Linked DNA regions of Rattus norvegicus. Each later gene encodes a partner of the first gene's protein in a complex. Links are inferred from orthologs where the notes say so. Each region holds a gene or a part of one and is shown on either strand. Other genes may lie near its edges. The genes, in order: Prmt5 and Wdr77.

Region 1 (4,476 bases):
CTGTAGGAGCCTACGGATAATTGCAACTGAATGTAGGATGTATACTGCACAAGGTCCTAGAGCAGCAAAAGGAGGGGAGGTGGTAGTGGTGGAGGTGGCAGGGTACAAATGCACCCTCAACACCCTCACGGGACGTTTTCTTAGTTCTCTGGTTTCCTGACTTTCACATGACCCAGGACTCCATGTCCTTTCTGTATTGCTAAGAGCACTGTCCTCCAGAACCCCTAATCTCACTAGTCATGTCCAAATATTGCCTGGTTCAGGTCTCTCTAGACGACCAGTTCAGCCTATCCAGTCCCCAAATACGATTCTCCCTGACCTCTACCCACTGCAGGGACAAAACGATGAACGTCGTCATTGTTGTCATTATTATTATTATCATTATCATTAATTATTTTCTCCTGGCTCCTTGTTAGTTAGTCCCTGAATTCTGTCAATGTCTCCTGTCGTGGATATCGTGATTAGTTTTTGTTTTGCTTTTGTTTTTGCTTTTTTAAGTCAGTGTAATACAAGGCGAATTATTTGGGAAGAGGGAACTTCAGCTGAGAAAAGAACTCCGTCAGATTGGCTGGAGGGCCCTCAGTATCTATGGGCTTGTTGTCTTCAGGGATGTGTTTCCCTTTTCCCTTCCTAGGTCTTTCCTTGCCTCTGTAATTTCCTTTTGCTCGTGCGAGCAGCTGTTAAGAGTGGGAAATGCAGGTTCATGGTTCCTGGGCACTGTAATTTCTGGTGAATTTCTTTTCTCTGAGGTGTGTGCGCACGCGAAGATATTTACTTACATTCGTGTTTGGGACAGAATCAGTAGGAATTAGTGGGTGATTTACTACAGTCTATTTTTTAAGTGTAGCAAAACAATGAGACAAAACTCATTTTAATAGTCCAGTCACCAAAATTTTCATACTCAGAATAACTTGATTATATACAAAACAGCTTTGAAGAGAGGAATGAGAAAGGCCAGCATTAGATGGGTGCAAAATCGAACCAAGACCTGAAAACCACAGCGTGAAAGAAATAGCAGAGGATATAAAAGAAAGACGTTTTGAAGTAGCAACATTGGGAGATGATTAGATTAGCAAGGGATGCAAATAAAGGAGTACCAGTCCCAACGAGCCAGCCAGGAGTCGAACCTGGAATCTTCTGATCCGTAGTCAGACGCGTTATCCATTGCGCCACTGGCCCGCAGACATTACAGGCCGGCCCAATAATGATACTTCAGACTTATCCCGCAGGGCTGCATGGGACCTGTAGTCTCACTAGAGCGCTACAGATGGACTGGGCATTCTGGGAGATTGCAGAGCGTCAGCAACGAGAGCCTGTCATTGGTAGAGCAAGGGTGCCACGCCCATGTCACTGTGCGGTCTGCGGATTGGTGGGAGCAGCGACTTGGTCCCTCCACCTCCGCTTTGGGGCTGTAAAGACGCTCTGGTTGTTAAGGCGACTTGTCCCGCCTCCCCGGGACTGTTCTCCGCTTTGTGATTGGCCTCTAATAGCAAGGAATCCCGGCGTGGGCTGCGCGAGGGAAAAGATGGCGGCGATGGCAGTCGGAGGTGCTGGTGGCAGCCGCGTGTCCAGCGGGAGGGACCTGAATTGCGTCCCTGAAATAGCTGACACACTGGGTGCTGTGGCCAAGCAGGGGTGAGGGCCGGATTTCCTCCAGAGGAGTGCGGGATCCAAATTTGGGGAACAAGGAGGGCAGACTAGTACCTCGCAGGGGATGAGGGATTGAGACACCATTACTCCTTGAGTGGGGAAGACTTCGGCCCCAAGAACGAGAGGTTGAAACTCTGGGGGGCGTGTGGTCACGGAGTTCAAAAGTCAGGGGAGTTACAGGGCAGATTTAAAAAGGGATGTACAGTAGGCCTTGGAGACGGATTATTTGAGAGTAGAGAGAAGTATAAGGAGGCGAGCGAGAGAAGAGGTTAATCTGGCTTGAGGAGGCATGGGCAGTGTTGGGACAGGTCTAAATTTGACAGTCCTGGAAAGCCAGTGAAGTCAGGGAAGAAAGAAATCTACTTGACTTCTATGTCCATTTCTTGCTCATCGGTTCATGATTGTGTTTTGGGAAGAAATTGATGCACAGTGTTGTGAAAGTGATGTGTCCCAAGATGGGCTGAACTCAATAGCCCGTGGGGTGACTGATGATGGCTTTATGGAACTGTGCAAAATCAAGATATTAATATCCCAGTTGCTTGGATCTCTGGGCCCTTACTTTACATGATGATTCTGGGTCTGTCACGGTTGTAGGTTTGATTTCCTCTGCATGCCTGTCTTCCACCCGCGTTTCAAGAGGGAGTTCATTCAGGAACCTGCTAAGAATCGGCCTGGCCCCCAGACACGATCAGACCTACTGCTGTCAGGAAGGGGTAGGGACCTTACCCTGTGCCCCTTAATTATTAGAGGCAGTAATATCTTCTGCTTTATAGGACTTAATTTTCCTCCTCTGATTTGGTTATATATTGGCTAGCCCCTATGACATAAATAACAACTTTTTTTCCCCTTTCTTTCTAAAAGTTGCAGTCCCCCCATTCTTCATCAGGCTATCCCTCTATCAGAGAGAAAAAAGTCTTGCTTTTCACCTCTTTACTCTCTGCTGAGAACTAGAAGTTGAGCAAGAAAATGCCAAACCCCATTGAATCTTTGTCTTTTCTTGGGTGGGGGAGTGCAGACTGGAATACGCTAATTGTGGGAAAGCTTTCTCCATGGATTCATCCAGACTCAAAAGTGGAGAAGATCCGAAGGAACTCTGAGGCGGTAAGGCAGTTTAATTTCTCTGTGGGATCCCTTTAAAAGTTAGGCCTGACCTGGGTATTGTGGCACCTATCTGCAATCTCAAGCATCTGGGAGGCTATTCCCACATCTGGAAGATAATGAGGGAGGACTGAGAATTCCATGCGGGGAAAAGAAAAGGACATAAAGTAATTCTGTCACTAAACTAGGTTAGGAGAGTAACCTGGTAAATCATAGTACAGTTAAGTGTCTGAAGAAATGTGTGATGGCTTACATCTATAATCTCAACAGAGGTACATCTCCAACTCAGCGAATCGCTGAATTCCAGACCCTGTTTCAAAAGAGGAAACGTTTGGCTCTGGTGGAGTATGGCAGCTTACAGCCGTAATCCTAGCATTCTGGAGAGTGAGTGAGGACTCCTTCAGATTCCAAGTCAAGCTGACTTATGGAGAAAATTCCAGAACAGCCTGGGCCACAGTGTCAGAGCCAGTTTCTACTCTACCTTACCCCAGAAGTATTTGGTTCTTAGCTCTTAATGGTTTTCTTTCATCCTATGTTTCAGGCTATGTTGCAGGAGCTGAATTTTGGGGCATATCTAGGTCTTCCAGCTTTCCTATTGCCCCTTAATCAGGAAGATAACACAAATCTGGCCAGAGTTCTGACCAACCACATCCACACTGGCCACCATTCTTCCATGGTATGACTGAGGGTTCTTTCCTACTGTGTATCACGCTAGCTGTACCTTTTGCCCAGTTATGCTCCCCCCGCCCCCCGCCACGTGCATTTGGCAGAATTGAAATGTCAGTACTGTTCTTCCCCCACCCCGTCTAAAAGCGGTGTGCAGAGAGTTTCAGAACATAGCTTATGGGGCTAGAGATGTGGCTCAGTGGTAGATCACTTGCCTAGCACACAGGAGCCTCTGGGTTTGAGTCTTAGTACTATAAAACTAAAGATAGAGAAAATACTTAATTATTTCTATTTAAAGTAAAAGACAAGCTAAGTCTTTGTATAAGGATATGTATGAGATCAAACACGTGTAATCACATTTAGAAAAGCATATAGGGCTGGAGAGATGGCTCAGTGGTTAAGAGCACTGACTGCTCTTCCAGAGGTCCTGAGTTCAAATCCCAGCAACCACATGGTGGCTCACAACCATCTGTAATGAAATCTGATGCCCTCTTCTGGTGTCTGAAGACAGCTACAGTGTACTTCTATATAATAAATATAATAAATAAATCTTTAGAAAAGCATATAAAGAGATTAACTTCTGGACCCACTGAGTTCGAAACAGCGCTTTAACAGGGTACCTGTTCATATTTAGTTCTGGATGAGGGTCCCCTTGGTGGCCCCAGAGGACCTGAGAGATGATGTAATTGAGAATGCACCAACTGCACACACAGAGGAGTACAGTGGAGAGGAGAAGACGTGGTTGTGGTATGTCTCTCTTGCTGCTTTACCTGCACAGGGCGGGGTGAGGACTATGGGGAACGGATTTCGAGTGTTCCTTGAGTTATAAGCCATATGCATTTGACAGGGTCTTTCTTTGTTTCTGATTCTGGGCAGGTGGCATAACTTCCGGACTCTGTGTGACTATAGTAAGAGGATTGCAGTAGGTAAGTCCACAGGGTTCTGAGATGTAAGTGGCCTCCTGGGAATGAGAATCAGCAGGCTGGGCATGGTGGCCCACCACATTTCATTTCAGAACTTGGGAATTGGAGGCAGGCAGATCTCTGGGAGTGTAATTAACGC
Region 2 (3,811 bases), on another chromosome or scaffold:
CAGGCTGCAAATTCAAGTGCTTTACTCAAGGGTGATCACGAGAGGCTCTTGACTGGCAAGAGTAGAATGGAAGCTCATGGTCCTTCAGGGCGCCCATTTTATGTGCTTTTCCTAAACCAAAGTTGTAAAGCTCTAATAAGATCAGTTACTGACCCATAATTGCTAACGGAGTGCCTAGTCCACCAATGCCAAGTATAAATAAATAAGTTCTAGATGTTCTGCGAACAGTAGACTACAAAGACAGTGGGCAGTTAAGACTGATTGATACTCAGGTGACTCACCTAAGCAAAGCAGGTAATAAATAAGCTTTGGAGGAAAGATGAAAGGATAAGTCTTTATTTCACCTTCCAGTATTTTTGACAGTTTCTCTGATGCCGGATCTTCAATCTTAGGAGTCCAAATATACAGCGCTCAGACTTCAGCTCTCCAGAGCAAAGTACCCAGATCAGTCCTCAGGGAATTTTTAGGTGGGAAAAATGACAATGACAGATTTCTCTGTAACAATCCATGTCAATCTTCTCGCTTCACTGAAACACTTTTAATTTAAGTACTCCATCATCCCTAAAACTGTGAAATCTAGGACAGGAAAGCACTCATCTCTCATACACAACACAAAAGAAGGAACACAGGGTGAGCGAGCGCGAACTCCAAGGGCCAAATTGATTCACCCAGAAAGTGGATTTGATTCCATTTAACAGGCATTCGTACAAAACTGTTCTGTCTTCTCAAGGTAGTCTGGCTAGACTTTTGTATATGGGAAGTAATTCCCATATAGTGAATTAAACTCTATATAAAAATAAGTTACGCACCTCTGAGTAATGTGAAGTATTCCCAAGCATCCAGGGATACCCACACTCCATATCCCTAACAACATAGTCAGCCCCCAGACATGGGAAGCATAAAATCCTCTGGTCATTTTGTCGGGGGTAAAGAGCATTGCTTTGGGAAAGCTGAAGGATAATTTTCTCCACTCCAAACTATACACTGCACTCACACGTGTACTCACACATACATCCATTTATAAAGGAAGCTTTTTCCTCCAAGTCACTATGGGATGCAGCCTCCCTCAGGCTGAGAATCTGACTAGTTACTGCACGGGACTAGGGAGTAATCATGCTCTACAAGGCTCCTGTGCTCTCTCTCTCACAAATGGAAGGCAGGGGCAAGCGAGTCGACACTTGCAGACAGAAGGCTCTTTTCTTCTGCAATCCATTCTACTCCACAACACTGTCAGGTCCAGGGGCTGGGAGAGGCTCTAACGGCACAACATGGTGGATGACCTGATGGTCCCAGCCAACTGTGGTAAGAAGGGAGTGATTGAGTGGAGACCATGTAGCATCTCTCACAAAGTCTCTGTGGGCTCGACTTCTAAACCTAGAACAAGAGGGGAAAATGTGGTGTGGTAAGAGAAAAGATGAAAACCCAGGAGGAACGATTAAAAAAAAAAATTAAAAAAAAAACTAATAACATACACTTATGACACATTTTTTGAAACATTTCACCATCTACACAGCCCCATCACCAGGCCAGTGGATGTTAGATTATCCAATCCAGTCTACTTTCTTAGGTGAAGAAATGGTGGACAGAATCGGAAGCAATAATGCCCACAGTCAACAGGAAATTATGGCAGAGGGACACACCCAGGCCTTCCATCCAGTGCTTTACAGCAAGTTCCACTTCTCAGAAGTGGCGCCCTGCATGAAGCTGGAGCGCTTGGTAAACAGCCTACAATCAGACAGCTTCCAGCACTCGGTCTTAGACACACAGCTGCAAACAGAGACGACTTGGGGGAGGGGATATCTCTGCAGACAAAGATGAAGAATTTTCTTGTATTTATACTTATTTTTAATAATCTCCATGTGGGTGGGTGTGCAACTGAGTGCGGACGCACACAGGTATCATATGCATTGGATCTGGAGTTACAAACAGCTATGTACAGACTGATGCAGATGTTAGAAACAAAGGTATTCTAAACTGCTGAGCCATTTCTCCAGACCCAACAAAGGAAGAATTCTACATGCATGTTCCTGAAGAGAAAACAGACTTGCTTGCCTACTGGTCTTGATCCCTGATTCCCGACCACAGGATTCTACTTCAAACTTACACCTCAGAAAAGCTTGAATCCAGCACAGCAAGTGAACAGTCTTCACTGAGAGAGGCCAGGAAGGGAACACTAGGAGAGGACACAAAGGGAAGAGAAGATAATGCCCATAGGTTCTACAACCGAAATCTAACAGGGCCAGCCCCAACCCCACTGTAAAGTGAGCCGGGGAGAGGGCAGTCTGATGCCCACTTTGGGTTCAGATCTTACCACCATTACATCCAAGGAAGATGGAACAGAGCCAGTGCTCACGGAAACCAACCAGCCCAAGGGTCCTCCCTACATTAGCAATTACCCACCCACAGGCTCTGAGCAGGAGTGAGATTACATCTTAGGTCTTTCCAAACTACACAAACCAAATAAAGACTATCTGGACAAGCTTAGGAAAACCAGGTTAGAGTACTGCCCTATCTGAGGTCCAATGTAAGCAGCTAACGCTTTGCCAAATAGACACATCCCTGTATCACTCCACTCCTACTCTTTCATTACAGTCCCCACCCATCCCTTCCAGGTTCCTGGTAACAAACAGTACCTGTGTGGAGAGAACACCAGTCTAGTGACACACTGCGAGTGCACAGCTGAGCTGAGGGTGCAGCTTGCATTCTTGGTGTCCACAAGGGAGACAGATCCATTCTCATCACCTGTAGAAGAAAGAGAGCATGTCACAGTGGTTAAGAATTTATGATTTGGGCTAAGTAGCACACACCTTTAATCCTAGTATGTGATGAGAGGCAGAAGCAGAAGGATCTCAGAGTTCAAGGCCAACTGGGCCTATCACGTTCTAGGACAGTCCAAACTACATCTACATACAGACCCTGTCTTGGCTGAAGGGAAAAAAAAAAAAAAAAAAAAAAAAAGCCATAGACACTGATGTCAGTCAGATGGGAGATTTGAATGAATCCTAGTTTCTCAAGATGTAGACAACAGTTTCCTTTGTGATATAGAATCAGTCAGTCACTATGTGGCTGTGAATTACTGGATAAAGTTATTACATTAACTACAAACTCTTGCCATGTGTAGTCACACCACAGCAGAACATAGTTCCCTAACAGCAAGCACTTGCTATGCAGCTCACTGATTTCTAACCATGCCCAGAATAAAGGAGCTGAAACAATGAAGCAAACCTATTAGGAAAAAATGATGGTCTCCAAAGCTAGGTAAAACCGACATAATCCATGCAGTGCCCAAGTGTGCTGACAGGAGCATGTACTCCAAGGTATCCGCCCCATTCCCAGAGTCGATACGTCATGCTGCCTTACCAAAGACAAAGATTTCACTCTGCTGAGGATGCCAAGCCAGGGAGGTAGGGAGGTAGCCAGAGGCATTGCAGCCTGGAAGGGAAAAAAGGGAGATTTGGAACAATGGTCACAACCTAGAAGAAGCTTCTTCCAAAAGAAGTCAGTAAATCCTGGGAGCACTTTCACTGAGTTTCTTAAAGACTGCCAGAGCAGTCATGTATGTCCTCACCCCTGAGCCTACACCTACATCTACCCATCCATCTCCTGCCATCTCCTGTACAACTAAAAGCACAAGACATAAAAATAATAACCCTGACCCTTTGCCCAGCTGTTTGCACAGTAAACTACACATGGAAACTAACCCTTACTCTGGGTACCCCATGCACTGTGGTCAGCAAAGTCTCAGTGAGACAGAAAACAGTGTTGTCAGAGGGTGGGCATCTAAGAGTTCTGCTGTGACTGTGAGCAGCAA

Evidence for each region.
Region 2: Prmt5 (region 1) and Wdr77 share a complex: the UniProt entries of both Homo sapiens proteins name them as parts of the methylosome complex. The link is inferred for Rattus norvegicus from reciprocal best matches to the Homo sapiens genes PRMT5 and WDR77.

What each region holds. Positions count from the first base shown.
Region 1 is NC_086033.1:31,945,348-31,949,823, reverse strand, and holds the start of Prmt5 (protein arginine N-methyltransferase 5), read left to right. Parts: upstream 1-1,511; 5' UTR 1,512-1,525; coding exon 1,526-1,635; intron 1,636-2,244; coding exon 2,245-2,363; intron 2,364-2,665; coding exon 2,666-2,751; intron 2,752-3,289; coding exon 3,290-3,424; intron 3,425-4,048; coding exon 4,049-4,161; intron 4,162-4,290; coding exon 4,291-4,340; intron 4,341-4,476. UniProt on the Homo sapiens protein: Arginine methyltransferase that can both catalyze the formation of omega-N monomethylarginine (MMA) and symmetrical dimethylarginine (sDMA), with a preference for the formation of MMA.
Region 2 is NC_086020.1:196,130,350-196,134,160, reverse strand, and holds the end of Wdr77 (methylosome protein WDR77), read right to left. Parts: intron 3,433-3,811; coding exon 3,361-3,432; intron 2,743-3,360; coding exon 2,634-2,742; intron 2,174-2,633; coding exon 2,105-2,173; intron 1,375-2,104; coding exon 1,215-1,374; 3' UTR 308-1,214; downstream 1-307. UniProt on the Homo sapiens protein: Non-catalytic component of the methylosome complex, composed of PRMT5, WDR77 and CLNS1A, which modifies specific arginines to dimethylarginines in several spliceosomal Sm proteins and histones.